2 linked regions of the Arabidopsis thaliana genome follow. The protein of the gene in region 1 interacts with the protein of each later gene in a pairwise test. Each region holds a gene or a part of one and is shown on either strand. Other genes may lie near its edges. The genes, in order: HB-1 and CHR17.

Evidence for each region.
Region 2: the proteins of HB-1 (region 1) and CHR17 interact in a two-hybrid assay, tested with the Arabidopsis thaliana proteins (one study listed by BioGRID).

The regions. Positions count from the first base shown.
Region 1 is NC_003070.9:9,969,622-9,985,277, forward strand, and holds the start of HB-1 (homeobox-1), read left to right. Parts: upstream 1-9,856; 5' UTR 9,857-10,314; coding exon 10,315-10,492; intron 10,493-10,573; coding exon 10,574-11,053; intron 11,054-11,169; coding exon 11,170-11,240; intron 11,241-11,553; coding exon 11,554-11,916; intron 11,917-12,008; coding exon 12,009-12,098; intron 12,099-12,212; coding exon 12,213-12,377; intron 12,378-12,503; coding exon 12,504-12,726; intron 12,727-13,158; coding exon 13,159-13,259; intron 13,260-13,428; coding exon 13,429-13,515; intron 13,516-13,617; coding exon 13,618-13,770; intron 13,771-13,862; coding exon 13,863-14,018; intron 14,019-14,195; coding exon 14,196-14,405; intron 14,406-14,492; coding exon 14,493-15,140; intron 15,141-15,239; coding exon 15,240-15,656. Other genes in the region: AT1G28395 (uncharacterized protein), read right to left, coding at 196-215, 1,452-1,567, 1,661-1,812; AT1G28400 (GATA zinc finger protein), read right to left, coding at 3,111-4,118; AT1G28410 (myosin heavy chain-like protein), read right to left, coding at 6,975-7,031, 7,130-7,210, 7,297-7,455, 7,573-7,629, 7,745-7,795, 8,236-8,349, 8,500-8,547, 9,067-9,194 and 1 more. UniProt on the Arabidopsis thaliana protein: Transcriptional regulator required for the maintenance of the plant vegetative phase.
Region 2 is NC_003076.8:6,196,020-6,211,675, reverse strand, and holds the start of CHR17 (chromatin remodeling factor17), read left to right. Parts: upstream 1-9,509; 5' UTR 9,510-9,617; coding exon 9,618-9,830; intron 9,831-10,114; coding exon 10,115-10,246; intron 10,247-10,323; coding exon 10,324-10,430; intron 10,431-10,522; coding exon 10,523-10,635; intron 10,636-10,856; coding exon 10,857-10,954; intron 10,955-11,046; coding exon 11,047-11,226; intron 11,227-11,309; coding exon 11,310-11,531; intron 11,532-11,741; coding exon 11,742-11,876; intron 11,877-11,945; coding exon 11,946-12,228; intron 12,229-12,310; coding exon 12,311-12,384; intron 12,385-12,495; coding exon 12,496-12,716; intron 12,717-12,792; coding exon 12,793-12,880; intron 12,881-12,956; coding exon 12,957-13,050; intron 13,051-13,133; coding exon 13,134-13,322; intron 13,323-13,412; coding exon 13,413-13,447; intron 13,448-13,562; coding exon 13,563-13,639; intron 13,640-13,735; coding exon 13,736-13,825; intron 13,826-13,923; coding exon 13,924-13,993; intron 13,994-14,087; coding exon 14,088-14,142; intron 14,143-14,214; and 12 more. Other genes in the region: AT5G18636 (Ta11-like non-LTR retrotransposon), read right to left, coding at 1-408; AT5G18630 (alpha/beta-Hydrolases superfamily protein), read right to left, coding at 6,228-6,444, 6,648-6,739, 6,900-7,094, 7,181-7,345, 7,426-7,498, 7,581-7,648, 7,746-7,793, 7,883-7,948 and 2 more. UniProt on the Arabidopsis thaliana protein: Possesses intrinsic ATP-dependent nucleosome-remodeling activity. Constitutes the catalytic subunit of several complexes capable of forming ordered nucleosome arrays on chromatin. Involved in the formation of nucleosome distribution patterns.

The sequences.
Region 1 (15,656 bases):
CATTAGAAACTTTCGACTCATTTATCGAGCTAAAACAAAAACAAAAGAAAATTGCCTAGAGACGTAACTCAATTATTATCACTTCTAATGGCAAACTGCCCTAAGATCAAGTTCAAGAAACCCAAAAGAAAAGTCTCATTTCAGCACCACCTTGTCTTAGACTGCATGCATCGCTGACCTCTCCCCAGTAATTCATCATACATCATCATTGCAATCTGAGTGAATACCAATTTTTTGTATCAGTGTGGTTCTTATGCTGATGACAAGTGTTCTAGTCCAAGATATTCAGAAAATATAGCAGTATGTCAATATTTCAAGCATATTTGACCGCATTAACAAAGACCACACTATCGCAGAGAATCAACTACAAATGACCCATCTTTCTAAGAAACGATCGCTTATGTATCCATATAGAAAAACTCTATAACCATGATGGCAAATCCAGTAAAAAGACCCAACTCCAAGACCAGAAGATAAATTGATTGACTCACATCACTTTTGTTGATGGATCTTCATCTAGTCTCGTCTAGCCCTACAAAGCAAAAAAAATTGATTTTTTCTCAATGGATTCAAGACATTGGATTTAACTGGGTAAAGATATGTACAAAAAGATGACACAGGACAGACTCTGCTAAAGGATTTTTCTATTAGAGTAGTATGTTTTCCTAGACTGTCCAATTATTTAGAGGTGGAGTATTCTAGATGCCAAAAAGATCTGTAAAAAATGACTTCTGTTCGTAAAAACCAAAATCTTAAGGGCATATACCTAAGAACTTAATACTGGGACAAACCATGCATAAGGAAAGTTCAATAACACAATTGCACGAGAAACTCAAAACTCAGGATCCAAAAAAATTTGAGTTCAGGAAAGAAAAAGCCTAATAGAGCTACCTCCCAATCAACAATGCACACATAATGAAAACTGAGAGATGCCAGAGAAGTTTAGAATTAATTGAATAAATGAACACATAAAAAATCCACATTCACTACACTAAATAAAGTTAAGATCTTGTTTTAACTTTCTATGTAAAACAGAGCAACTCTAAACCTAGCCCATAACAACAACAACCGTAATGTGGGGAGATCCACAAGCATATGATCATTACCAGTTTACCACTATTATGCAACAAACTTAAGAATGCAGACATTTTGTCTAATCAATAATCCTACTATGATTGACATCTTCAACAACAAAGAGGTTTCTTCTTAGCAAGCTCTCCACTAAAACATGCACACGAAAGACTACACTAAACACTCAAATCAAATCAAACTCGGTAACAATTCAATTCAATTCAATCAAGAGACCTATCGAAAAAATGAAACACATTTGTCTTTAAGCATTTTTGTTTGTGCATTTCATTTACCAGACAACTAAGCATGTAAACTTTATTCTATCATCAAGAAACTAAACAATATAGAGAATAATAAGCAATGAGAAGAGAGTGAAGTACCATCAACGATCCAACCACGGCGTGAAACTGAGAGCATTGAATTGAGCAAAGCGGAAGCAGTGGCAGTGTGGTAAGGGAGCATCGTCTCCACGCAACAGCTTAGTTCTACCGGAGATCTTTCATTCCAAACAAAATTCGCAAAACCAAAACAATTTCAGAACGGAGAATAAAACGAACTAAGAGACCAAATCAGTGTTAAGAAGATATACCTGAAAATGCGATTTGTTAGAGGACTCTGTTTAGGCATCCGAAACGCGGTCCGTGCCGATGACGGCATAGGCTTGGGTCCGGCGGAGAATCTAAATGCGGTGGACGATGCTCGGCTTGCGGCGGAGCGGAACACGGACCTTGCGGCGGACATTGGACGTGTAGGATCTTTGGATTTGTTTTATTTTTTTGTTCAATTTTTGGAGAAGAGAGAGTTTAGGGCTTTTGCGTAGGGTTTTGCGTAAGGGAGGGATCTGATGCAGCTGCACCTACAGGAAGCTCTGTGAAACTGTTGCTTGCTGCGGATAAGTGACACGTGTCAAATCCGTAATTTCTAGTTTTCTTCTACATTAATTGGTTTTACCGGAATATTGAGAAAAATAGCTAGTAAACATTATGATAAAAAATAGTTAACAAAAAAAATATTTATTTATAGAAAAGGTAAATAAATTAAAATAGTTTCTCGGCATGGTGGTAATATATTAATATTCATGTAATGATTTTAAAATATATTTTAGAAAAGGTGAATAAATCCAGGAAAGGAGAAAAGAGGTTTTTAGTTTGTCCTTTATGTTGGCCGTGATTAACGGAATGGGGACTCTTCTTTTCCTCGTAAAAGACTCGAGAATGGATTCTTATTGCTAAGTGCTTTGGAAGTGTCGTTGTCTTTTACTTGTCCCGGCGTTTCTGTTAGTCTTTTCCACCCATATTACCACCAATTACACTAAACTTCTTATTGTTTACTATTTTTCAATAAACGAATGTACAGAGAACAGATTTTCCCTCCTATTGATGCCAAGAAAGCAAGAAACGCGATTGAATGTAACAAAGGCTTAATGTATCCATCTCAAGGCTGAGATTATAGCTAACATTAAGGCACATGTTTGAGAAGATTTTTGTGGCTTCGACAACATTTCGATTTAATCAAGTGGAGTAATATATGTTTCTAGATCCATAAGATTAAATAGTTGTTGTGCAAGTAATTATTACTTTCTCTTTTGCACTTACGCAAGGAGGAAGAGGCATCTTCATGTCCCCCATTATAAATCATTGTAAGCAGTCACGTTTGGTCCCATTTTAATAATGGGAGATCCATACAGTCTTTATCTAAATTATCTTTTACAATATAACCAAAAAGTGATTAAATTAACATAAGAGAATAATAACATAAAGTAGCACCATATATATAAACTATCTTTCTTTCACCGAATAATATATGCAAACGCAAACATCAAAGTTCAAAAACCCATAGAAAAGCAAACCCACCGATTAACTAAAAAAAAAAAAAAACTCCTTTCTCTTTTTTGTTTTTGTTTTCACTTTTAAGTTTTGCAATGATAACAACGATTTAGTTTGACTAAACAACGATAAGTAATATAACTTAGTTTGAAATAAAAGAAAGTACTTTTAAGAGTGTAGTAGTCTTGAGAGGAAATCAAATAACAATCTTCATCAAGGCTTGAACTGATTAGTGCCTTGCTCCTCAACAAACTCTTCAGGCTGTTCGTTCATCAAGTTCTTCTCCCACTTGGAGTTGTACGGATCCTTAAAACTGTTCTCCTCGTTGTTGTTTCCGTACGAGTACGATTGCTGTTCGTAGTTAGTCTCGGTCGCGGGAGAAGAATAGTAACCGGCGGGGCTTTTACTGTGTGACTTCCGGTAGTAATGGCCGTGGTTTCTGTCGTTGTAAAGGTCGTAGTAGTAGCTACCTTTCTCCATGAACCTTGTGTCACTCATGCCTTGTCTCTCCAAGTTGTGGCTGTAACCTTTGTACGGTGTTTCACGTTCTAACTCTGTCCCGTAAGCGTTAGAGTTGTAGACGTTTTTCTTGTTGTCTTCATTGTTCTCGGGGAAAGACTCTTCCTTAACGTTTTCATCGTACTTGTAGTTGTAGTTGTTGTTGTTGTTGTTGTTGTTGAACTCTTCCTTGGCGTAATTTTCATCGTACTTGTTGTTGTTGAACTCTTCCTTGAAGTTTGCATCGTACTTGTTGTTGTTGTTGTTGAACTCCTCATTGTTATAACCTTTAGTGCCGTAGTTCTCTGTCTTCTTCGGGTAATTTTCCTCGTAGTTGTTGAAAGACTCTTCGGTCTCGCTCAGGCTTGGAGTGGAGAAAGTCTTGCTGTTGACTTTTTCATCGTTCTTGTTGTTGTTGTTGAACTCTTCTTTGTTGTCGTTGTTGTTGTTGTATGTGGTCTCGTGACCATACAAGCCATACCCGTTTCCGGACTCGGGGACAAAGGTAGGATCTTGTTCTTGCTCTTTCTTGTTGAGGACGGATTCTTCTACTGTGGTTTTCTCGCTAGTCTCAAGAGGGATGAAACTGTTAGGGTTTTGATCTTTGGGGGATTCTCTGTGGAATTTTCCAAAGAAGTAACTGTCTCTTGCATGGATTTGGGTGGAGAGAAGAACAAGTGTAGTGAAGAAGAATAAGAGGGAGCCTCTAGTGGAGAAAGCCATGATGTGAGTAGTAGTAGTGTGATAGAGAGAAGAGAAGAGACAATTAGATATTGTGGGTTTATTGAGAGCTAGTGTGAGCTTATATATATTGAAAGATTCTAAGCTCTGTGGCTTCTTTTTCTTTCTTCTTTTACCTTTTTTTCTTTAGAAATTGTGGACTTTTTTTAATGTGTTTTAATTTGAAGTCGTTAGGTGGAAATGGGGACTGGATAGGTGATAATGGTTGATGGTGGGTCCATTAGGATGAGATGATTTTTCAAAGAGGTAGCTCAGCTTTCTCGCCTATAAGATTAGTTTATCAGAAAAAGGTTATTAACCATCCTTTTGGTTTGTTAACTTTACCAAATTACAATTATCGACTAGTTTATTTGAGATGAGAACATGGATCGTATTTTAGTAGTCTTGTTGGAAACACAACAAATATGGACTAGGAACAGATAAGGCTTTTGTAGTTTTCCCATTCATCCGTATCATACTGTCACACTCATTGTTGCTTAGCAGCTTAGGAGTTGGAACCAAAATTCAAGTCCTATCATAAAAGTTTTCATATTGGTAGCATTAGTTGGAAGATACATCTCGTCCAAAATTACTTATTTTAATTAAGTACCTTAATTAATCATAGTTAAAATAAATAAAAGAAAACATTTTGTTAGTATTCCGAGAAAACATGGAGAAGCTAGAAAAATGTGTGTTGTTTATAAACATTATTCTTCCTAATTTTACCCCTAACAAATCGACATAACAGTGTCATGTTGATCATTGAATAGCCTCGAGATGCTTTCTTATGTAAAAATCACTTTATAGTATATGTCTCCAACTTTCCCGATCTTCAAGCAAACTTATAGTATTTGATTATTTCGGATGGTCAGACAAAACCACACTTATATAAAGCTGATTTGAAATGCACCAGTAAATTCAGTAATCTTTATCATCATGTACTACTCGTAATCATTCTTGCTTTATAATACGAGCAAACAAGAATAATAGATTTTGGGGTATTTGGTCCGATCAACATTGATATCTGAAGTTACTATGTGAATTTTTGTTTCACTGTCTCAATATAACTTAACACAAGAAGCCAGGGCGAATGAGCCATCAAAACATGAACCATCGTTGTAAACTAAAACTTTGTCGTCGTTGCTCTTTGGTGTGGTTTCACTATGTCCAAAAAAGGAGAAAGAAAATAGGATATTAAAAAGAAAACAAAGAGGGAGGAATTGAGAGGCGAGTAATAATGCGAGGATTGAGGGAGGGTTAGTGGGAATTGCCCCAATCCCACTGATCACTATGGAGACACCAATACACATATCATGTGACCCTAAGCCACTAATCTCTCTAGTCTCTATTGTCAGTGATTAAATTTCTTGACTCTATATGTCCTCATGTATCTTATTCTTTCCTCATAATACATCTACAATCTAAGATATGCACTTAAAAAAAAAGTATTAAAAATATCGAATTTTGTTTTTTGAATTAGATTCCCATGTAGTAGATAACATATATGAACAAAATATACTAGGATTTATAGAAAAAGCAAACAAAAAAATTGTCAACAGAAAAGGAGAAAAAGAGACAAATGTTATTAAGTTATAATGTCAAGCAACATTGAGTAATTTGCGGGGATGAGTATGAGAGAGTAGGTATTTTCACGTTTTCAGACGTAGAGACATACAAAGAGCTTATCAACCATTTTAAAAGCTAAAAGGATTTCCCAACATAAATGAGAAGAATAAAGTGCATGTTTCCTTCTTTGAAATTGAAATAACTAAGAAAGCATGTATTGTATCATTTTTTAAAAACAAATAAAAGAAGGATATGATGAAAATAAAAGTACCAAATTCAATAAAAAGGGTAAAAGAAAAAAACAAAGTGGAAGATTTACTAATAATGGTTTGACCAAAAAAAAAAGAGGTTAATTCAATCAATCAAAGACAAAAACTCGAAAGTGTTGGGGAGATTTTGTGGCGTGACTAGCGGAATGGGACCGACAAAAGAGAGGTCGTGTGGTGGGAGTAGTCGAGCTTTGTACTTTGTAGGACCATTGCATCAACAATCTCGACTTATTGTAATTTAAGGGATACATACTAAAATGTAGTTTTCCATGCTACAATAACAACTAGTTATATTAAGATTTTTTGTTTTTTTTGTTTTTTGGTCATCTCATTTTATTAGATAATGAAAAAGATCAAACTTCCAAACAACTAGTTAAGAAAATTATGCTGAAAATGTATAAACTAAACCAAGATAATAATAATGAATGAGTGATCTCAACCTATTGTCCTACATTATCCTGAAGAGAGGTTGATCTTTGATTAGCTTCACACTAAAAATGAATGACTGATCTCAATCTATTGTACTACAATATGGAATTTCTGAATTTCTTGCAGAGAGAATGTGAGAATGTGTAAGGAATTTGTTTGTTAGTAAAATAACTTTCATTTTCCAATAATGTGGTCTTGTATATATAAACTTTCACTACACTACATGTAGTAAAATCATCTCACGTTAAACCATACAAAGGCTACTCCTACTTACGACAAACATCTAACGGTAAAACAACGAACAAGGACTTGACTTTTGTCTGCATGTCTTTGGTTTTGTCTCTTTTTTCAATAACAAATTCAATTTCCAACAATTGAACTTGGATACAACTGTGCACCTTGCCCCATAATAACTGGTTTAAACTTTAAACCACAGAGTAACCGGATTTTGGTTTGTTCACGGATGTAATTGATCCTACTAGGATTATCCTACGGATCTCAAAGCTTAAAACTAGACAATTTCTTGAGCAATGAGAAGCAAAACCAATCTGAACATTGCTGATGCATCGGTTGAACATGTCATCCAGAAACCAAACTAGGAAGAGAGTAACATCCATGCTCCAAACACTGGGAAGGTAATTAGTGCAGATGCCTGGAGATTTCATTTTTAATCAGATGTGATTAAGGATCAGACAAATCAAACATTGATTTAAACCATCTACAAGCTCTGAAAAATATGAACTGACATACCATGAAAAACACCACTTCTCTGTTTGCGAGAGCCGCTGTGATCTCGGTTCTTTCCATCTCATGCTCGATGAAGCCTTGCAACTATAAAGAATCAAAGCAAAGCGCGGTTACAGATTCATTCGATCTAAATACTGGAGATTGTGAAATGTGATTATCTGAAACAAAACCTGGTGGTGATATTTGGTAACAGCTGCCCAGAGGCTTTTTAACTGTGACAGGGCTTTTGTGAGATACGGTTGCACAGAGAGAACCTTCTTTCCCTTCCAGTGAATGTCAAATGCTTCATCAACTTTGGGCAGATGTTTTCTTTGGATATCGCTCATGAGCTAAATACAGATACACAAAGGAGAAATGAGAGGCTATGAGATTATTAAACGACGGTTTAATTGTCTATTCCTCAGATTTCATATCACTGGGAGTCCACAGCTGGATTTGAAATTTACCTTCACGAACGGGCATCTGCTAGGTGTGTGATGCCTTCGGTTATTGAATTCTCTCATCTTCAAGATGCAATAGGAACAATCATCAGTGACGTGAATTTATACCCCACTTGGTCACAACTCACAAGATTCAACTGCATTAAGCGAAAGAAACTTAAAGGCAAAAATTAAAAACCTGCTCAAGATGTTGAACCTGAATCCACTGCTCCGTAACAACTTCTGTCATCTAAAAATGATAAAGGAAGTAGGTCAGTGCCAAAAGAGCTTGAAGCATTTGGTGACAGCAACAATCTAAAACTCATTTTCATACAAACATATCAGAAACAGACAGATTTCATTTGCTACCACATCAAAGGGACAAACAAAAACAAGACAAGGACAAAACCAAACAAAAGTGGGGTAATTTGGTACTACACATAACAAATTTAGTTACATAGATTAATAGATGCTTAAATACCTAACAACAACAAGTTTTATGCCGATTTATGTTGGTTCTCTGAGATCCAAACATATATATTCAAAGTTTAAAGGAATCTATCAAAATTTTTGTAGAAATTAAACTGAAGTGAACTTAGAGATGATTCTGAACTACCAAGAATAGTTAATAATTTCTGCTTTGGATAGAAGATTAAAGGAATGGGTGAAGTAAGAAAAGCCAATAATCACCTGTTCAACTTCCAAAGCCTTAGCTTTAAGTTTATTCTTAGCTTCTCTTGCTTTATCCTCTAAAACGTGTAGCTCGAAGTTGGTTGTTCTCAAGGCAGCCCATAGAAGTTTCACCTACCATTGCCAACCCTGTTCTTTAGATTAGTGGAGTTGAAGAATAAGTAGCTCCAGCATTGGCAGAACACAATTTGGGAAATAAACCAATAGAAAAAAACATTTTGAGAACTAGTCTAAAGAATAGAATAGCCACATGACTGAACAGACCTCTTCTTCTAACTCGCTTATCCTCTTTTGAACCAAAGGTAAGCCGCTCTGAGATCAAATAACAAGTGTTAGCAATGCAACTACCATGATAAAGTGATGGCACAATATACATTTCAGATAAGAAACTAGCTCCAAACAGAAGAAACAAAGACCCTACTTCAAGAGCAGCAACATAATCAAACTCAGTACAATCTTCTAAGGGTTTATAAACTGATTCAAATACAACTAGAAGAGGGATAAAACATTACGAGCCGAGTACTTATCATACAACCAGGCAAGTTTTCGTATCACCAATACTTAGACATCCTACAACAAAGGTGTGGCAACTATACAGAAGTGGCAGCTACAACTATAATGATTAAGCTCAATAGGGCATTGAGTTTTCTCAAGTAAACATTATTCAGAAAGGGGGTATCATAGGAGAGCCTCAGACTAGCACATACGATCTAATGAGTGTCCTACCACATTCATTCCCTCATCAGCAGAGGAAATTTTTAAAGCCTTTTAGCTAATTCTACTTAACATAACTAAATGTTCAATACATTCTCCTTAGAGAACCAAACCAACCTTGTCAATGTATGAAGCAGACTGCAAATCAAGGATCTGAGTTTCAGCAACTTGGATCAACTTCTCACGCTCTTTCAAGTAAAGGGTCTTACCATCCAACTTCTGTATTGTCGCCTCAAGAACAGCTTCTACACGATCAGAGCCAATCGATTCCCAGCAAACAAAACAATACAATTAGCAAAAAGAAAAAGAAAAAAGAGAAGCCTTGGTGGTTCAACCCAAAACCACCACGAACAAAAAGAAACAAACTTTACCCAATTGAGATATTCTGAGCTTAGCTGAGTCCAGATCATTGATCAAGTTCTGATTAGAACCGATCTGCTGCTGGACTTGAGAGGAGAAAACGAAGAGTGGTGAAATGATGAAAAACAGAGCAGCCAAATGCAGCCCCATTCTCTGTTCACCGGAGTTCCGACGTTCCCGGCGTCGGAAACTAAGCCAACAGTTTCGTCTCTCCTCTTCTTCTTCAGAGAGATTTCGAGTCAAAGCTTCCTCGTAAAGGTTCTTTCGATTCCTCTGTGATTCATAGGGACGGCGAGTAAACCGGGATTAAAAAATCTGAATTGAAGTATTGAACCGGTTTTAAAAACGACAAGGACTGTACACTTGAAAACAATAAAGGGCAAGATGTTTACTCTCAACACAAGTGGTTCCTCAAAAAAAAAATCTGGGGGATATGATAATCATGCAACCAGCCTGCGGATCTGAAAGACAACAACACGAACACGAGACCAAAAGCACGTTAAAGCCCTTCAAGAGTTGTTGTATTAATTTAGTTTTAAATTAACTTGATTTATATAATAAAAAGAAAAAAAGCTTTGATAAACACATCAACGGCAGAAACACACATAAGCACGCGATTCGCTGTAGAATCCTCAAGTTTCGATTTTTTTTTTCTTTTCATTTACAACAAAAAAAAACAAGATTTTAATTAAGAAGAAAGGCAAAAAAAAAGAAAGGAATATGAAGGAGGTTGAAATTGAGATGAGTGGTACTACTACTACTACTACTAGAAGCCCTGTTGTTGTTTTTCTTCCTTTTTGGTTTTTATCGATTTTACTATTATTATTGTTTGTTCTTCCTCTTCTTCTTATTCTTACTCTTATATATTCTACTTCTTTTTATTTTTATTTTTTTACGTTTTTGGATCAGGGTTTGTTTGTTCAATAGAAAGCCCTAGTTTTTGTTTTTGTGTTCTTTGATTCTTCTTGCGGCCGTTTCTGGGTTTCTTCTTCTTCTTCTCTTTCCATGGAGATGGGTTCTGACGGTGAAGATCAGAAGATCAGGAGCGTCGTTGGTGATGCTAATCTTAATAATAAGAAGAAGAAGATTGATAATAATTCCTCCTCTAAGGATGGTCGTGTCAAGCCTAAACGTCAGATGAAAACTCCGTTTCAGCTTGAAACCTTGGAGAAAGTTTATTCAGGTTCTTATTCATCTCAATTAATTTGATTCAATCTTCGTTCTCTTTGTTTTTTTAAGTATTGATGTTGAATTTTTGATTCAGAGGAGAAGTATCCGTCGGAGGCGACGAGGGCTGAGTTATCTGAGAAATTGGATTTGTCAGATCGACAATTACAGATGTGGTTTTGTCATAGACGGTTAAAGGACAAGAAGGATGGTCAGTCTAATAAACCGGTGAAATCATCGGTTGCTGCGGTTCAATCGGCTTCGGTTAACGAGTTACCGGCTGCTGCTGGATCGGTACCTGAGCAAGATTCCAGATCTGATTCGGGTTCTGAGTCTGGTTGCAGTCCTTATTCCAACTCTAGGAGGAATTTTGCTAGTGGTAGTAGTAGTTCTCGAGCTGAATTGGATGAATATGAGACAATGGGAAAGCCGAGTTATGAGTCGCGGTTGTCGACAATGGTGCATAGAGCTATTGTCTGTATTGAGGCTCAGTTAGGTGAGCCATTGAGAGATGATGGACCTATTCTTGGCATGGAGTTTGATCCTTTGCCTCCTGGTGCGTTTGGAACACCTATAGGTATACATTACTTTCTATGTTTGCCCTGTTTTATGACTTGTGTAACCAATGTCAGTGTTAGTATTACACTTCTTGTGATAAGTAACTCTCTAACTTTGTTTTCATTGGCATTTCAGCGATGCAGAAACACCTACTTCATCCCTATGAGAGCGATCTGTATGAGCGACATGATCCCCGACCTCGAAGAGTTAGTTTTCTGACTAAACAGATATGCTCTATTTAGTTTCTTTATAATGCACCTAGATATCTCAAATTGACTAGTTGAAGAGGTTACCATAAACTGATGGTCTATGAATTATATGGTAGGAGTAATTTTTAGAGTTCTCATTACATGAAGGCTGACATTAGTCTTATGGCAGTTTTTAGTCTCTGATCATTGTTAGAAAGATGAATTCCGCTCTGCTGTTTCTATTCTCTTTCTTGTCCATTCATGTATTCACAGTTTTATAATATTTTCTTTTTACTACTTTGCTTAACATATTTGCTTTTGTTGATTATAGTCTCATGCTGCTGCCCGTTCTTTCCATGAGCAACAATCTCTGGATGATCCGTCTTCTTTTACACCTAATATGTATGAACGATACTCTGAAAATCATGCACGTGGTATGGACTATGAAGTTGCACGTTCTAGAATTTCATCATTTATGCACGCGAATGGACCTGTACCAAGGTCCTATGTTACCCCTGGACATGCGTCTCGTAACTGTTCGACATCTCAACAAGACATGCCAAGCCCCATTGAATCAGCGCATCATGGTGATAGATTCCTGCTGGAGAAGGACTCATCAGTCCTTGGTACAGAAGATCCATATTTGTTACCTGATGGAGTGCGTAAGAGTAGTGATGTGCATAGAAAGGGAAAGGTAGCTTCATTGTACCAACTTTTATTTCATCCGTTTTTGTTGACAAGATGTGTCTTTGTTGTAATGTCATTTTTCTATGTTTACTCTCACAGATTAACGATGGTAGACTTGGAAGAGGGAGTGAAACCCGAGAGAATCATGGACCAAAAGATCTTGAGAAGCTAGAAATTCAGAGGAAAAAGGTATTTGCTCTACATTTATTATCCTCCTTACTGATTATTTGGAAAGGTGTCTTATTGTCTTTTGTTAGTATCACTGTAACAGATATATTGATGAGTTGATGCTTGTGTCCTCAGAATGAAGAACGCATGAGAAAAGAGATGGAAAGGAACGAGCGTGAGAGGCGTAAGGAAGAAGAGAGGTTGATGCGTGAAAGAATAAAAGAAGAGGAAAGGTTACAGCGTGAGCAGCGTCGTGAAGTAGAAAGAAGAGAAAAATTCTTACAGAGAGAAAATGAAAGGGTAAGTTTGGAAAACTCTGCCCAGTTGTTATTCTTTGGTATTTTTTTGTTAATCCTGCTGAGATTGAGCAACTTTTGTGGCAAGAGTTCAGAGAGTGAAAATTATCTTTTTGTTGACATGTTAAAGGCTGAGAAAAAGAAGCAAAAAGACGAGATTCGTCGAGAGAAAGACGCTATTAGACGCAAGCTTGCCATTGAGAAGGCAACTGCACGTAGAATTGCCAAGGAGTCTATGGATCTTATTGAAGATGAGCAGCTAGAACTAATGGAATTGGCTGCTATTAGCAAAGGATTACCCTCAGTATTACAGCTTGATCACGACACATTGCAGAATCTTGAGGTGTATAGAGGTATGGTCTCTCAGATTTAGTTAGTAGTGGATTTGGTAATCACGGCCTAACGGTCTACTTAGTTTTTAGGCTTTACAATCAATAATTTTTGGTAATTTATTTTAGTGTTTTTCCTCTCTGAAATTTTAAGCTTAGTATTAATTTTTATATTCTTAGTTTGGTATATTCTATGGCCTAGTCTGGAATATTCAATGTTGATGTAGCATGTTAGAACACTGCGAAGATTATTTTATTGTAATTACATTGATTTCTAGATTGGGTAGTAGCTTTTGTATTTGCTTTCTCTTACAAATCTATCTTCTTCATATACTTATCAAAATCAAGACAGTCAAAGTAATTTGCTTATACCTTACTCGATTGGCTTAGCTTTATTACAGTGTTGTAATTTATTTATGGTTCCTGCAATTCATCATAGCTATTCTGCTTTTTCAGATTCTCTGAGCACATTTCCACCAAAGTCTTTGCAACTAAAAATGCCGTTTGCCATTTCTCCATGGAAAGATTCTGATGAAACTGTTGGAAACCTTCTAATGGTATGTTGTATTGATCTTTACCCTCTCTCCGGCTGCTACCTCTCATTTAAAATTAGTATTATGATCAGAATAACTTGGAGACCAATTTGAAATCAGTTGGATTTGTTTTTCCGTGTATTATGCACCCTTTTGCAGATTTCACATATCTTATGTTGTGATTGCTTTTCAGGTTTGGAGATTCCTGATATCATTTTCTGATGTTCTTGACCTATGGCCTTTTACACTGGATGAGTTTATTCAGGCTTTTCATGACTATGTAAGTCGCTCTTTAGTACCTATAGCCTGTTTTCTCGTGTTCTATAGTTGTTTCTTTCATTTCATTGTTCGTGCTCTGTATTTGATAAAGATCCTATTGTAGGACTCAAGGTTGCTGGGGGAGATACATGTTACTCTTCTGAGATCAATAATACGAGATGTCGAAGATGTTGCTAGAACACCCTTTAGTGGAATTGGAAATAACCAATATACTACAGCCAATCCTGAGGGTGGACATCCGCAAATAGTTGAAGGGGTAGCTTTCTTCGTCTCTGTATGTTAATATACTTTTCTCTTGCTGGTTTTGTTCAGTGGGCTTCATCTTTCATATGCTTCTTTCTCCTTCAGGCTTATGCATGGGGTTTTGACATTCGTAGTTGGAAAAAGCATTTGAACCCACTAACATGGCCTGAAATACTGCGACAATTAGCGCTCTCTGCTGGATTTGGACCTAAGCTGAAGAAAAAACATTCCCGATTGACCAATACTGGTGATAAGGATGAGGTACGTATTCACGTTTGGGCGCCCCCTAACTCCTAACAAGTGTTTACTCAGGATGTGATGGTAGTACTATATATGGAGAGAAATAAAAATGAAATCCTGGAAGCTAAGCTAGGCCTTTGACATAAAGATGGTTTTCGTTTTTTCTTACACATTGTTTTGGTTTGGTTGTGTATGCAGGCTAAAGGTTGTGAAGATGTCATTTCTACTATCCGAAATGGTACAGCAGCTGAAAGTGCTTTTGCATCGATGCGGGAGAAAGGGTTGCTCGCTCCTCGCAAGTCGAGGCACCGGTTGACACCTGGAACCGTCAAATTTGCAGCCTTTCATGTTCTATCTCTTGAAGGAAGCAAGGGACTGACAGTATTAGAACTTGCTGACAAGATTCAGGTAAATCTATAATCTATATTTGCTATGCTGTTTTCATCGTATTTGAATTTTTTTCATTTACATAGTCTTTATGTTTTCCATTGAAAGAAATCTGGACTTCGGGACTTGACCACAAGCAAGACACCAGAGGCTTCTATTTCTGTTGCATTGACAAGAGATGTGAAACTCTTTGAAAGAATAGCTCCTTCGACTTATTGTGTACGAGCTCCTTATGTGAAGGATCCTAAGGATGGAGAGGCAATACTCGCAGATGCCAGGAAGAAGATACGGGCTTTTGAAAATGGATTTACAGGTCCAGAAGATGTGAATGATCTTGAAAGGGATGAAGACTTCGAAATTGATATTGATGAGGATCCCGAGGTTGATGATTTAGCTACACTGGCAAGTGCATCAAAAAGTGCCGTTCTTGGAGAAGCGAATGTTTTGTCAGGAAAGGGGGTAGATACAATGTTCTGTGATGTTAAAGCAGATGTAAAGAGTGAGCTTGAGAAGGAGTTTTCATCTCCTCCTCCAAGCACTATGAAGAGCATTGTTCCACAACATAGTGAGCGGCATAAAAATACAGTGGTTGGCGGCGTGGATGCCGTAATTGATGAAAGCAACCAGGGCCAATCATGGATTCAAGGTCTTACGGAAGGGGATTACTGTCATCTAAGTGTTGAAGAGCGCCTTAATGCCCTTGTTGCTTTAGTCGGCATTGCCAATGAAGGAAACTCCATCAGAACAGGTCTTGAGGTAAAGTCTGGGTTTTCTTTTATCAGCTTTCCTGTTGAACAGAGTAGAAATTGACCTTTTGAGTCTATTATTTGTTATCTGATTGAAATTTATTCACAGGATCGTATGGAAGCAGCAAATGCTCTTAAAAAGCAAATGTGGGCTGAAGCACAGTTAGATAACAGCTGTATGAGAGATGTACTTAAGCTTGATCTTCAAAACTTAGCAAGCAGCAAAACTGAATCAACGATAGGCCTACCAATCATTCAAAGCTCTACTCGTGAGAGGGATAGTTTTGATAGAGACCCTTCTCAACTTCTAGATGAAACAAAGCCCCTGGAAGATCTTTCGAACGATCTTCATAAATCATCTGCTGAGAGAGCACTTATTAATCAGGATGCCAATATAAGTCAAGAAAATTATGCTTCAAAGAGATCACGCTCCCAATTAAAGTCATATATAGGCCACAAAGCAGAAGAGGTGTATCCATACCGATCTTTGCCGCTTGGACAAGATCGGCGCCACAATCGTTACTGG
Region 2 (15,656 bases), on another chromosome or scaffold:
AGAAACATAAGGTAAGGGAATACCTCTAATCTGCACCCAGAGATCAATGGTAGTGACAAGGTTGTGAGCTGGAGCCACCTGCCATCGAGTTGCTGCCACAAACCAATTGTTGAAAAGCCACGGTTCCCTTCTTTGCACCATCATCAGATCAATTTCATTTGCAAAAACGAACTGGACATACGTTGCATCAAGAACTCTTCCATGCACCTGAGTCGTTAGTCCCCATGATCTTGGAAGTGCTACCACGACAGAGTTAAGATTTTGAACTCTTGGGTTCAGAGGTCTCGCTATCAGACTTAAGTTATTTGAAGCTTCAACCATCACATAAGCCTCATGGGGAATGAAAAGGGCTGGATCCTCTTGTCCTAATTCTAGATTTTGTATCTCATCCCACAACTCATCTGCCATAGTGATAAGAGAGAAGAAAACTAGGAACTAAAGGGATGGGAAATAGACTAACTAAGGAGAGCAGGAAAGATATATAAAGACTTAGAGAAATAACAGAACCGACTAAAATAATATTAAACTAACAAAATATTAAAAAGAACTCTCGCCTAATTTGGATACTAAGAGATGATAGGACTTAACATAACCGACTTATATATATAAGACAAGAAAAAGGAAATTCCCGATCCCTATCACCCCCATAATTGAACCACTAACCTCCTTATTAGCTATTCTAACCAACGGCCACGTTTATTTAGCCATGATCCTGAGTCAAACATGTGTCACTAATTATGAACTCTGAATAGCTAAGTCATTAGCTTTTTTGCTGAGTCATTTCTGAGACAGCCAGACTTCCTTTCCAATAGGGAACTTAGAAGCTAATGGATCATGCTAAATATTTCAAATATCTTACCCTTCCTTACTCTGAAGTAAACGTGTGGAGATGTAGAATAAGACACTTTTCAACTCAAACTAATCAACAAATCAACACTCTGATGTTGACTATCTGACAAGAAGTCCTTCGTATGAACTAGACTTACTCTTTAGACCCTCAGCACAAAATTCTCCTATAAAGGAGACAAACATCGACTCCTCTGATGAATTAATTCAGAGTCAAAAAGATAATGTAGCCATTGGGGAGGTCCTTTAGCAACATAACTCTGCCATCTCAATCCTGTTATCACGCTTTTTGCTATCTCATTAGCTCCCGTGTTACACTGTCTTAATTCCATTGCCATATACCAATGCGGTTTATCCAAAGTGAGATCTAGCAATGCATCCAAATGTCCTCTCAAAGCTGGCCACTCTCCTGGTTTATTCATTGCTTTGATAATATCATGAGAAGAAGCTCCAAAAGTAACTCTATCAACATGTAGTTTATCCATACTCTCTAAAGCCCATTCCCAGCTTTTCAGTTTAGCTTCAAAGTTAGAATGTACCTGAGAATAAGATCGCCTACTGTGTATAAGCACCTCTCCTGTATCATTTCTAACTACCCATGAAACACCAGCTAATTGAGTTTTACTTGACCACGCCACACCAATGTTGCATTTCAATTCATTCCAAGGCGGAGGAATCCATTTCATTTCTTTCTTTGTGTCTTCAGACTGAGTCTTTGGATCTTGAGCAGATAACCAATGATTCCAATCCTCAAATGCTTTCTGTACTATGCTATTAGAGATAGACACATCACTTTCAAAAAGACTTTTATTTCTATTTTTCCATAGAGTCCATATGATCCAAGGACTAGCATATCGCATGAGTCTTAATATACTTTGATTCTTACAGTTATGAAGCACATGGTTCATATTAGTAAAAATCGAATTTCCAAATCCAGAAGGTGGTGACTGCATCAAAGATAGAGCCCATACCTGACGGGCCAAAGAGCATTGAAACAAGACATGGTTTATTGTCTCATTCTCCTCAGGACAAATAGAACATCCATCATTGATTAGAATTCCTCGTGTCCTTAATCTCTCTTCCACCGCGACAGCACCTTTAACTGCTTTCCATAAGAAAATTTTGATTTTTGGTGCTATGTATAGACTCCAAATACCTTGGAAAATAGGATTGACAGAAGGTTGTTCATGTGCTTTGTGAAACATCTCCTTATGATTCTGGCTACTGCTCAAATCATATCTTGATTTAACTGTGTATAAACCATGATTTGTACCTGACCAGCAATAAGCATCCTCTTTTGAAAGCATTGGTCGTTGATTAAGAATTAATTGAGCATCTTTCCATGGAAATAAGTCTCTGAGCATGTTCAAGTTCCAGTTCTTTGAAACTGGATCAATTAGTTGACTGACCTTTAAAGTAATATCCACCATCACCTGAACACTCTCAGGTCTTCTCGTTTTACCCTCAAAAAGCCAATTGTCTATCCAAACCAATGTTTTTTCTCAATTTCCTATGACCTTTTTCAGACCTTTTCTCAATAATTCTCGACCATAAAGGATACTCTGCCAAGCATATGAAGGACGTGTGCCTTTTGTTGCAGATAGGAACTCTGAATTCAGATAATATCTGCTTTTCAAGATCTGAGAAAGAAGGCTGTCTTTATCACTAAGCAGTCTCCACGCTTGTTTAGCTAACAGAGCTTGATTAAAACACTGAAGATCTTTAAATCCAAAGCCTCCCAGAACTTTTGGTAGCATTAAAGTTTCAGCTCCAATCCAGTGTATTTTTTTTTTTTCCAGGCAACATATTCCACCAGAAATCTATCATGACAGAAGTCAACTTTGAACATAGACTCTTTGGAAGTTTAAAACAAGACATGGCATAAACTGGAAATGCCATAGCAATTGATTTCAACAACACTTCCTTTCCACCTTGAGATAAGGTTTTAGCATACCAACCATTGAGTCTAGATAAAAGTTTTTCTTTAAGAAAGCCAAACAAAACCTGTTTTGAGCCACTGAAACATTCTGGTAGTCCTAGATATTTGCCAGTTCCTCCTTCCACATGAATTCCAGATCTATGCATAATCCAATCTTTTGTTTCTGCTTCAATCTTGTTTCCAAAGGTGACCGAAGATTTTTCCACATTGATCATTTGTCCTGAAATATGCCCATATTGTGATAAACAATGCATAATCTGAGAACATTCCTCTTGACTTGCTTTACAGATGATCAAAGTATCATCCGCAAATAATAGATGATTCACTGAAGGACCTGCATCATTAAATCGAATTCCAGTAATTTTTCCACATCGTTCAGCTTGGTTTAAGATATGAGTAAGAGCTTCAGTACAGATGACAAACAAAAAAGGTGATAACGGATCTCCCTGTCTTATACCTCTTTGTGGTAAGAAATGACTGTAAGGTTGACCATTAATCAGTACTGAATAAGAAACAGAAGAGACACATCCCATTATCCAACCTATCCATTGGTTGCAGAACCCCAAGGCCCTTAAAATACCTTTTAAAAAAGGCCATTCTACTCTATCATAAGCCTTAGACATGTCTGTTTTGAACACCATAAAATCTCTGGAAATCTTATCATTGGTTCTTAAATTATGAATTATCTCATGAGCCAGGAGAATATTATCAGAGGCTAACCTCTCAGCTACAAAAGCAGATTGAGTTGGTGAAACTATGGCTGGCAGATGTTTCTTCAGTCTAGCTGATAAGATTTTGGAGACTATCTTGTAAAGAACCGAGCATAAGCTGATAGGTCTTATGTCACTCATTCTTTCTGGATTTGAGATTTTTGGAATTAAACATAAATGAGTGTGATTCCAATCTTCAGGGAGGATGCCTGTTTCAAAGAAACCCATAATGTCTGCAATAATTTGATTCTTAACTAAATTCCAATGAGTCTGGAAAAAAGTCGCCGTGAAGCCATCAGGACCTGGTGAACTTTCAGCATTAATGGAAAAGACAGCATTATAGATCTCTTGTTCTGTAATTTTCTGAGTGAGATCATGATTCATATCTTGTGTAACTTTCGTCTGAAAACCTTCCAAGACTGAATCCATATTTGCAGGATAAGAAGAGGTGAACAGATCCACAACTGTTCTGCTATTTTTCCTTTTTCCTTATTGAGAGTGTGCTCAATACCATTTTCATCCACCAGAAAACTCAAGCAGTTTTTAATTCTATTAGCTTTTACAGAGGCCTGAAAAAACTTAGAATTCTTATCCCCACCAGCCATCCATTTATCCCTACTTTTCAATCTCCAGAAAGATTCCTCCTCTCTAAAGGCAATACCCAACTGATTTTGAATAACAGAAATCTTGTTCCAACACGGAAATTGGTAACTCTTTTCTTCATCCAATTCAAACCTTAACCTCTTAATTCGATTCTCAGCATTATAATCCTTCCCTTTTTTCCAATGACTAATAGATTTCCTACAGTCAACCAGTCGATGCATAGAAGAAGAATTATGAGAAGAAATATTACCTATCCATGCTTTGTGAATAACGTCTTGGTATTGAGGGTCTTCAGCAAATCTTTTATCAAATCTAAAAGTTCCTCGGAAAAGCTCCTGATCATTGACAAATTTCACCAAAACCGGTCTGTGATCTGATCCAAGCTTCTCCAAAAACCATTGATGTGAATTAGGAAACAAAGAAAACCACTGTGAATTTCCAAAACAGCGATCTAATTTACATTGAATCCATTCTCTTCATTTCTTTTCCCTCCCCAAGTGAAACTATTCCCAGTACTGCTCAGTTCATGCATATCACAGGTTGATAACATATTCTTGAAGTCCTGAAAGGAGGATTCTACTCTAGATGGGCCACCTATCTTCTCCTTATTAGACAAGATATCATTAAAATCCCCTATCAGACTCCAAGCTGCCATTCGATTCACACCAATGTTACTGATTTTATCCAGAAGCAAGTGTCTGAGATTCTGCCTTGGATTACCATAAACACAAGAGATAAACCATCTCTTACATCCTTGAGATATTTCCAAATCCAGCAAATTTTTGTCTTCATAAAGAAACTCTATATGAAGATGTTGGTTCCAAAATATTGCTAATCCACCACTCTTTCCTTCCGGTTCAATAGTATGAAAGTAACCATAACCCAACCACCTAAAAACTTTCAAAATAAACAGGTCAGAATTCATGGTCTCCATGAGGAACAAGATGTCAGGGAAATATTCCTTTTTCATTTCCCTCAAGTGCCGAATTGTCCAAGGGTTCCTCAGTCCTTGGCAATTCCAACTAAGGATGTCTTATTGATACTGCGGTGGTTCTTGAGGAACCACCGTAATGAGAGACTTTACTGTACTATCAGATCTTTCCGAGTCTGTAATTTTCTTATTCCTTTTGATAGCAGAAGCAAACTCAATATTAAGACTAACCTCTTTCTCTTTTATACCAGCGAAAGAATCTTGCCTCTTGTGAACTAAAAGAGCTTTTCTTTTTCTTGGATTCTTCTGCTTAATACTTAATCCAGATGAACCAGACTCATTAAACCCAAAGAGGAATCCTTTAGATGTAGGATAGTCCAGATTACCAGAAGGATGACTAGATCTTTTTGAATCACCAGTCTCATGGTTTGGAATATCATTTACCTCCGGCAATATTGAATATTCTTGGTGAGTGGAGATAGACGATAACTTTGTAGGAACAATCATCTCTCCTGGTTTCAGTAAGCATTTCTTTCCAAATAGAAAACCTGAGTCTACACTCCTATGATCTTCCTCTGAATCTCTAGTGTTTCCTACAGTAGCAAAGGGGCAAACACTTTTCTCATGAGTGAGACGTTGACAAAGGAAACATCTTTTCCGAATCCTTTCAAAATCAAAAGATACTGATATCATTTCACCCGGTAGGAGCAGAACTTCCTTAAAGTTACGCAAAGGATTTCGAACATCAAGGAGCACCTGAACCCTAATATAGTCTTGTGCTTGAGATTTTTTCTAGTTCCACAGTCATCACTTTCCCAACACAACCTGCGATTTCAAATATGTTTAGTTATTAAAAAGACATTTCAAATATGTTGCAAAAATAATTTGGTAATAAAGCTGTTGACTATTAAGTAAAATGATGTTTGTACTTTGATTAATAATTGACAGAAGAAATTGATGGATACAAATTTAAAGAATTCGGAATCTGCTACTGTACAATGTGATTATTCATTCACATTTAAATTGAAAAAGATTTTACATGCTACCAACGTAGGATTTATTTACAGAATCATTTTTTCACCTTCTCTTGCCATCACAAAGAATCAAAGAACCCTTGTTCTTCCTCCACACATTGAATCCCCCAAACCTCCTCTTCCAGCGAGCTTTCTCTTGTTCAAGACTTGAGATCAACATATACCTACAGACTAGAGATTCCGGTTTTCGATAGAGAACTTGTTTTGACTACGTCCTTAGGAGGAACTGTCCGCGAGAGGAATAAGTTACCCCTTGAATCTTTCCTGCTGTAACGCTCCATATCTTGATTCATCACTATGCTGCACTGTCTCCAACTCTCACACTTCAACTCTACCCCAAAGTACCTTAAATGGTCAGAAATGCTATTTCCCCTTACCGATCTGAAACAACAATTGCCTAGAGAGTTATACTGGATTCATGTAAAACCTATATGCATGTTGTAACGATTTAAGACCAATAGCCATCGCTCTGGTGAAATCTGGTAGTAAATTACGATCACAATTTTCGACTTGGAAGTTTGTTCTTGCTAATGTAGTGGAGAGAAATTATATCAGTAAGTTGTTTCAGAGGGATTGATAGTTACCTGCTGCAAGTAGGATCTTCACCAGTGTTGTCACAAACTTTCTCCAAACCAAAAAGAACAAAATTCGAAAAACTGAAATCTTTCACCCACACCTGCATCCCGGAACACACCATTACTGCTTTCTTCGTTTTTTCAGAAAGTTAATAAACCAAGCGGAGAAATTTGTCTGATCACTACTGAGTATTCCAGATTTTTGCAAAATTAAAACTGCTATTCTGATAAACATCCAGTGCACTGAGAAAGTGATGTTACCTCTGTTGGGAAGTGGTGGTATGTTTTTTGAGGGAAATGGTAATAGTAAGGAGGCAGATGAGGAACCATATCACGGTCATGCGTGATCCGGAAGGTATTGGGCACAAGCAAACTGTAATAAGATGCAAAAGCGGCATTCCCAACACGAGGTTGCCCAAATGTCATAACCTGTACGTTTTCTTCACCTTCATTTACCTGCGATTTGTATCCAATATAAGCCATTAACAACTCAAAGGACAAAACAATAAGATAAAAAAAAAATTCAATGCAAGGATGATTACAACTAGGTCTAGACCACAAAAGGAAGCCATGGCTCCTCCCATTGAATGACCGGTCACTATGATGTTGATGTTCGCCCCGTAGACTTTTTTCACTCGTGTTATTGCATCCAAAACCGCAGGCCGTAAAGTTGTATTGTGATAAGCACTGTAAAAGCCATGGTGCACCTGCCAATGTGGATAACTATTACAAATTCCACCGTACTACAAGACCAACTCAATGACAAATACTTGTTGTTAAAGTGTACCATTGCATCTGGCATGTCAGGGTAATTCAGATCGAGCTGTTTCCAGAACAAGTCTGAGACCCAATTTTGTATGCTGCACAAGTTTTGGATTGATTAAGCATTAACCAAGTTTATGCGAAGGAGTAGCTTTTAGATTACAATGACTAGAATAAAACCTGTGTTCTTGAGTTCCCCGAAATGCAATAATGATAGCATTCAAATCCTTAGCCACCCCAACATACGCCTGTTGTTACAAGTTACATGTACTGATATTAATAATTGTTCAATGAAGAAACATCATGAGTTCATGACCAGCTGTAGCTTATGATATCAGAGCAGACCTGTAAGCAGTGTTCAACGTCAAATATGACCTCTATTACTTCGAAATCCTGCACCATCCTAACAAACGTTAGAGCTCAACTCAATAATTGCGGCTTCAAAGTTCAAACAGTGATCTGCTTCAACATGTGTTTTTTACCTTTGTCAAACCATTGCATCTTTCGCACGTCCAAGTGAAGAGTTTTGTCAAATCAGACTCATAGACCTGCATACATCTTACAAACTTGATTCACTCATCTTATGTACGTTATCAGCATCATCTCTTTTCTCTAGTAGTGCAAATAATGATAAATGAAAATATGAAGAGGACAAGTGTAATTTCTTCTCACTTGCAGAACACTAGATATAAATGACATTCGTTCTACAGGGTATTACGTTTTGAAGCTAAATCATTATCAAAGGTCTTTTACTACTTCACTAATCTGCCATTAACTTACCGCAGAGGCATACTCCACAAGCGTGACGGCAAGCGTATGGTTGTAAACAGGTCGATCATCATCGCTCTTCAACTTGAGAACTGCAGTTAGAAGAAAGAAGCTAACATAAATCCACTTGCTTCAGTCTTAACTCCTTCGTAGCCTCACAACTCATACCAAGAACATGAAATTGTCGAAAACATAAAGCTTTGAAATCAATATTTTGACCTTCATGGTTCCTTATGTATATGATGATGCTACAAGGATTATGAATTGATTTGTTCCAAACATGATAGAACATGTAATTAGGCCTTAATGAAAAATCACTGTAGCCAGATTAAATTTCCAATTTCCCAAGCACTTCACATTACACAGAAAGTTTAAAATCTTAATTAAGCTCAGAGAGACTCAGGAGAATAAAAAAACTGGAAGTCCCAATAAAGGAAACAGACATAGAATCATTATAGAAGTTGCATTACCACCTCTACCATATGAAGATGAAACAAGAAAAGTAAAAACTGCCAGCAAGAACAACAATCTCTTTTGTCCCATGTTCTGCAAGAAGACAATAAACACAACCACATCATCCTCTGTTCATCAACCAATGTTAAGGGCAAAATTGAGCTAAAACAAAGCAGAATTCGGAAGCAAATTAGCCAAAAATATACCTTATAAAACGAGACTCACGAAACCCAAACTAATGAGGATTAGGACAAAACCCGAAAGAGATTTCAGCAACCAAAAGTCCCAGATAAATTAAACTGAGGATCCAAAGCCTAAATTGGACTTCTTTTACAACAATTCGGAAATTTCCGACGATGATCGGAGATTATTCCCGGCAAGAAAATTATACGGCGAGCTTATATATTATTATATAGAAGTCGTGATCTTGCGAAACAGAAGCTAATAGAAGAAAAGAAACGGCGATTAAAATACGAATATTCGGTTTTTTTTTTCTTAACTTCCACTTTCATCCTCTATACGCAAAGGTGCATGAGACAAGCGTGTAGGCTCTTTCAAAGGGTATTATTGGAATTTTAGGTGTGTAGCGTGTCGCAACTTCAAGTGCTGAGGTGTCAGATACGTGATTCGGGCGGATAAATGGATAAGGCCGTTCCGTTATAAGAACGAGAAGTTGACCTTTTTGACTTTCGCTTTCTTCTAAGTTTAACTTCGAGCCCATGGGCCTTTAAAGCCCGAATTCCAAGGCGGGAATTTCCGAAACTCTTACTTCTCAAGTGGCGGGAGAATCTTTATAAGTCAAGCCAACGTGGCACATCTCAGCCGTAGATTTGATTTCTCGAAATCAACGGGGTAAAATAGAAGCTACGGTCGTTTCAAACGTCGGGTTTGTTGCTTTTAATTTCACTTTTGTTTATTTACTAACCAAAGCAAAAAAAACTCAGGAACCCTCGATTCGATCTCTCAGACGAAATCAGGATTCGTAGAGGCGCGTCGATGGCTAGAGCTTCGAAGCGGGAAGTTTCTTCAGACGAGGCTTACTCGTCGGAGGAAGAGGAGCAAGTTAACGATCAGGCCAATGTGGAAGAAGATGATGACGAGCTCGAGGCCGTCGCTCGCTCTGCGGGCTCTGACGAGGAAGATGTTGCGCCCGACGAAGCACCTGTCTCTGACGACGAGGTTGTCCCCGTAGAAGATGACGCTGAAGAGGTATGTCTTCGTTTCTGTTTTCCACTCTTCGATTTACATTCGCATGTCGGCTGTGAATTCGGGGATTGCTGTATTTGGAAATCTGAATGTATTCTAAGTAAGATTAGGGTTTCCTTTGAGCGTATATTCGATATTTGGGTGTCTTTTGGTTTCGACTCTCTTTGTTTGAAGGTTTATGCTTAGAAGTGCTTACAATGATGGGTGGTCGCTCATTATGATGGTACATTCATGTGACTCGTGAGGATATTTGGTCACTCTTTTCATAATTTGATGGTTATATGTAGGACGAAGAAGACGAGGAGAAAGCTGAGATCAGCAAACGTGAGAAGGCTAGACTCAAAGAAATGCAGAAGATGAAGAAGCAGAAAATTCAGCAAATCTTAGACTCCCAAAATGCTTCCATAGATGCTGATATGGTAAGTTAGTAAATAACTGAGCTGCTTGTCTTTAGTATCCAGAGGTATTGAAATAACTCAATCATTCCATTTATTAGAACAATAAAGGAAAGGGGAGGATAAAGTATCTTCTGCAGCAAACTGAGTTATTTGCACATTTTGCTAAAAGTGACCCGTCTCCGTCCCAGAAGAAGGGAAAAGGAAGGTGTGTTGAGTGCAACTTATCTCAAAATAAATTGTGGTTATTCATATTAAGTTTCCAGAAATATAATTTATTGGGTTTCACTTTATCGTCAGGGGTCGCCATTCTTCCAAACTAACCGAGGAAGAGGAAGATGAAGAGTGTTTAAAAGAAGAAGAGGGTGGTATAGTTGGATCTGGAGGCACACGGTTGCTCACTCAGCCCGCTTGTAAGTACCTTTGTTTTGCTCCTAATATCTTGATATAGCGTATGTTTGCTCAAGTCCTATTGCGAGTCGAAGTTATTATAGGATTTGACACCTTATGCCCACTTCTTTGATTGGTAGAGTTGTTTGATATATTCTTCAGTTGCGAGCTCACAATTTCTAGGTAGGACTGCATAAATTCTGTAGAATTTAGAGATCTGATCTTCATACTCTTCATATTGCAGGTATTCAGGGGAAGTTAAGAGATTACCAATTAGCTGGTTTAAACTGGCTCATTCGGCTGTATGAGAACGGCATAAATGGGATTCTTGCAGATGAAATGGTAAACCACTAATTATCTTAGCATATAATAAGATTTTTCAGCTCTCTAATGTTATCTGATGCTAATCTTTATTGTTTTTGTTCATGGTCTAGGGTCTGGGGAAGACGCTTCAAACCATTTCTTTGTTGGCTTACCTGCATGAGTACAGGGGAATTAATGGCCCTCATATGGTAGTTGCTCCAAAATCAACCCTTGGTAACTGGATGAATGAAATTCGCCGATTTTGTCCTGTCCTGCGTGCTGTGAAATTTCTCGGTAATCCCGAGGAAAGAGTAAGTCATAATAGCTCTTACATTTGAATGGTTGCATTTATATGCACCTGGCAGGATTCTGAGATATATTTTAAATAATGCAGAGACATATTCGTGAAGAACTGCTAGTTGCAGGGAAATTCGACATTTGTGTAACAAGCTTTGAGATGGCTATCAAAGAGAAGACAACATTGCGCCGTTTTAGCTGGCGATATATAATCATTGATGAAGCACATCGAATTAAAAATGAGAATTCACTCCTTTCGAAAACCATGAGACTTTTCAGCACCAACTATCGGCTTCTTATCACGGGAACCCCCCTTCAGGTACTTGTCAAATCTTTTGATCTATAATTGTTTAGATCCTTCAATTTTTCTGTCAGATTGCTTCTGCCTATGTTGAAACTACTTTCTTGCTTGAGTCTGTTGAACTTAGTTTTTTTTTCTTTTCGTGTTCCTTAGACATGCTTCTTACTATCTTCTGTACTTGATTTGCTTGAGTTAATATTGTATTCATTTCATATGTTTCTACTACAGAATAATCTCCATGAATTGTGGGCCCTTCTCAATTTTCTTCTCCCTGAGGTTTTTAGTTCAGCAGAAACTTTTGACGAGTGGTTTCAAATTTCTGGTGAAAACGACCAGCAAGAAGTTGTTCAACAACTTCACAAGGTATGTACTCATATTTTATCAAGGTTATTCTCTAAGTTCTTATGCTAATCATTTACCTCATCTTTGTAGGTTCTGCGACCATTTCTTCTTCGGAGGTTAAAATCAGATGTAGAGAAAGGCTTACCTCCAAAAAAGGAGACAATACTCAAAGTTGGCATGTCTCAAATGCAAAAACAGTACTACAAGGCTTTACTGCAGAAGGATCTTGAAGTGGTTAATGGTGGTGGAGAACGCAAACGTCTGTTGAACATAGCAATGCAATTGCGGAAATGCTGCAATCACCCTTATCTCTTCCAGGGTGCGGAGCCTGGTCCCCCATATACTACAGGAGATCACCTTGTAACAAACGCAGGTAAGATTTACATTACAAGTAGATCATTCAGAAATGTGGCAATTGGCTTAGTTATTTTCTCTTTACATGTTCTTGTTTCTAGGTAAGATGGTTCTCTTAGATAAATTGCTACCTAAGTTGAAGGATCGAGATTCAAGGGTTCTGATATTTTCTCAGGTATTCATTAACGCAAACAAATAATTGTTCCTATCTTTGATTCCTTTTTTCTGAGTGATATCTTTCTTGGTTCTTTGTGCTTATTCCAACGATTTTGCTCATCTGTATCAGATGACAAGGCTTTTGGATATTCTCGAGGATTACCTAATGTATCGTGGTTACCAGTACTGCCGTATTGATGGAAATACTGGTGGTGACGAACGAGATGCTTCCATAGAAGCCTATAACAAGCCAGGAAGTGAGAAATTCGTTTTCTTGTTATCCACTAGAGCTGGAGGACTTGGTATCAATCTTGCTACTGCAGATGTTGTGATCCTCTATGATAGTGACTGGTAAGGCTCTTTTTGTGTCCATTGTAATTTATGAGTGTTTTCTTTTATGCCTAATGAGGTGGGTGGATTATGGCAGGAACCCTCAAGTTGACTTGCAAGCTCAGGATCGTGCACATAGGATTGGTCAAAAAAAAGAAGTTCAAGTGTTCCGGTTCTGCACCGAGGTTACTCTTGTACCCATGTGTATGAAGTAAGAATGACCTGGAGAACTTGAACTAATTCTGCATTGGTCTTATGCAGAATGCTATTGAGGCTAAAGTCATTGAGAGAGCTTACAAGAAGTTGGCACTTGATGCTCTGGTTATTCAGCAAGGGAGATTGGCAGAACAGAAAAGTAAGTGCTTGTGTACTGAGGCTGTTAGATGTATTGGATTTTCTCTTACATATATATACTGATTTCTTTTCTTTGCTTTCCAGCTGTTAATAAGGATGAGTTGCTTCAAATGGTGAGATATGGTGCTGAAATGGTGTTTAGTTCTAAAGATAGCACAATTACGGATGAGGATATTGACAGAATCATTGCCAAAGGAGAAGAGGCAACGGCTGAACTTGATGCCAAGATGAAGAAATTTACTGAAGATGCAATACAGTTTAAAATGGATGACAGTAAGTGTGCTATTTATCCCTTTTTCCAATGGTAACTCCCTTGCATGGGTAATGGGATGTCCAAACAAGATAGTTTTTGGTTTGTTGCAGGTGCTGACTTTTATGATTTTGACGATGACAACAAGGTATTCTTGGATAATTAATTGAATGATTGAAGGAAAGGTTTAACGCATACTGTGGTTATGCTCTGCAGTTTTTCGAATATCGTTTCCTGATTTCTTTTTTAATTTTGTTTGGTAGGATGAGAGCAAGGTGGATTTTAAAAAGATTGTGAGTGAAAATTGGAATGATCCACCAAAAAGAGAGAGAAAGCGCAAGTAAATATTACTTCTACTTTTTCATTACGTGGTCTATCCTGTCTTCCTAAACAATATCTAACTTCAACAATTTACTTTTCTCTACCCACCCTTTAGCTACTCTGAAGTTGAATACTTCAAGCAAACGTTGCGACAAGGTGCTCCAGCTAAACCTAAAGAGCCTAGAATTCCACGCATGCCCCAATTGTGAGTACCTCAATTGTCTCCACTCTGCATTTAGCCTTTTCCCTGTCTTATTTATAGTACTTTTATCGTAAAAATCTAATTTCTTGTCCATCCTGCAGGCATGATTTTCAGTTCTTTAACATTCAGAGGCTGACTGAGCTGTATGAAAAAGAAGTGCGATACCTTATGGTGGGAATAACAAGTTTATCAACATGTTATGTAATTTATGCAGCTTTTGTGTCTGATTAGTTCTGAATAGCAATTTGTTTCACTCTGGTTTCAGCAAGCACATCAGAAAACTCAAATGAAAGACACAATTGAGGTTGATGAACCTGAAGGTCTTTCTCAGTCTTTGCCCTCTTTTCTTACATTATTTTACTGAATCTATTACTTAAGAAATAATTTTGCAGAAGTTGGAGATCCCTTAACTGCTGAAGAAGTGGAAGAAAAGGAGCTATTGCTGGAAGAGGCAAGCCAAACCATTCGACCTTACTGTGGGTTGACATTTGTTTTTGATGGTTTTTTTATAATTTAATGGAGTTGATATTTTTTAGGGTTTCTCAACATGGAGCAGAAGAGACTTCAATGCCTTCATTAGGGCTTGTGAGAAGTATGGCCGGAACGACATAAAGAGTATTGCCTCTGAGATGGAAGGGAAAACTGAGGAAGAGGTTGAACGATATGCTCAAGTTTTCCAAGTGCGATATAAAGAGCTGAATGGTTAGTAACTTTAGATTGTTAAGTAAAGTTAATGAGTGTTTGCAGTGCGACAAAGTTGGATATTTATCCTAAGTAAGCTCTGCCTCTTGTTTTCCTTTGTAAAAATTGTAGATTACGACAGAATCATCAAGAATATTGAGAGAGGGGAAGCAAGAATCTCTAGGAAAGATGAAATCATGAAAGCTATTGGGAAGAAACTGGATCGCTACAGAAACCCGTGGCTGGAACTGAAGATTCAATATGGTCAGAACAAAGGGAAGCTGTACAATGAAGAGTGCGACCGTTTCATGGTATGACATCTATTTATCAAACTCTTTGTTGAGATTTCATTGTTATTGTTTTATTCTAATATGATATTGACCCGATGAACTTGTGATTATCAGATATGCATGGTCCATAAACTTGGGTATGGAAACTGGGATGAGCTAAAGGCAGCGTTTCGGACATCCCCCTTGTTTAGGTTTGACTGGTTTGTAAAATCCCGCACAACTCAGGAACTTGCAAGGAGATGTGACACACTAATCAGGTTGATTGAGAAAGAGAATCAAGAATTTGATGAGAGAGAGAGGCAAGCCCGAAAAGAGAAGAAGCTTTCAAAGGTGAGGACTTGAAGGAACATTTTTTTTTTTTTGTGCGAAGAACATTTTAAGTTTACATTTTCATTTACTGATGAGATGCTGTGGAATTGTTTCTCATGATCTGTTCTACAACTTGTTTCAGAGTGCAACGCCATCAAAACGACCTTCGGGTAGGCAAGCAAATGAGAGCCCTTCATCTCTTCTGAAGAAACGAAAGCAGCTGTCAATGGATGATTATGTGAGCTCGGTACTCAAAATCATTTCCAAAACATAAAAAGAGTTTTTCATTTTACTGGTTAATTCATGCAAAGCAGACAGACCATCTATTTCTGATCCTAACTAAAAAAAAACTTTATGTCTCTGCAGGGAAAGCGTAGGAAATAAGAAGGCTTGTGTTGAATCCATCACTAAGTAATCAGAAAGATTTATGATCACTTCTAGGTTTGATTCCGAATCGGAGAATTAGTTAGAAGAAGCTCCTTAGAGACAAGGATCTAATATTTTGTACCCGCAAGCATCACTGCATTGTCTCCGACTTCTCTTATTTCTTCAAC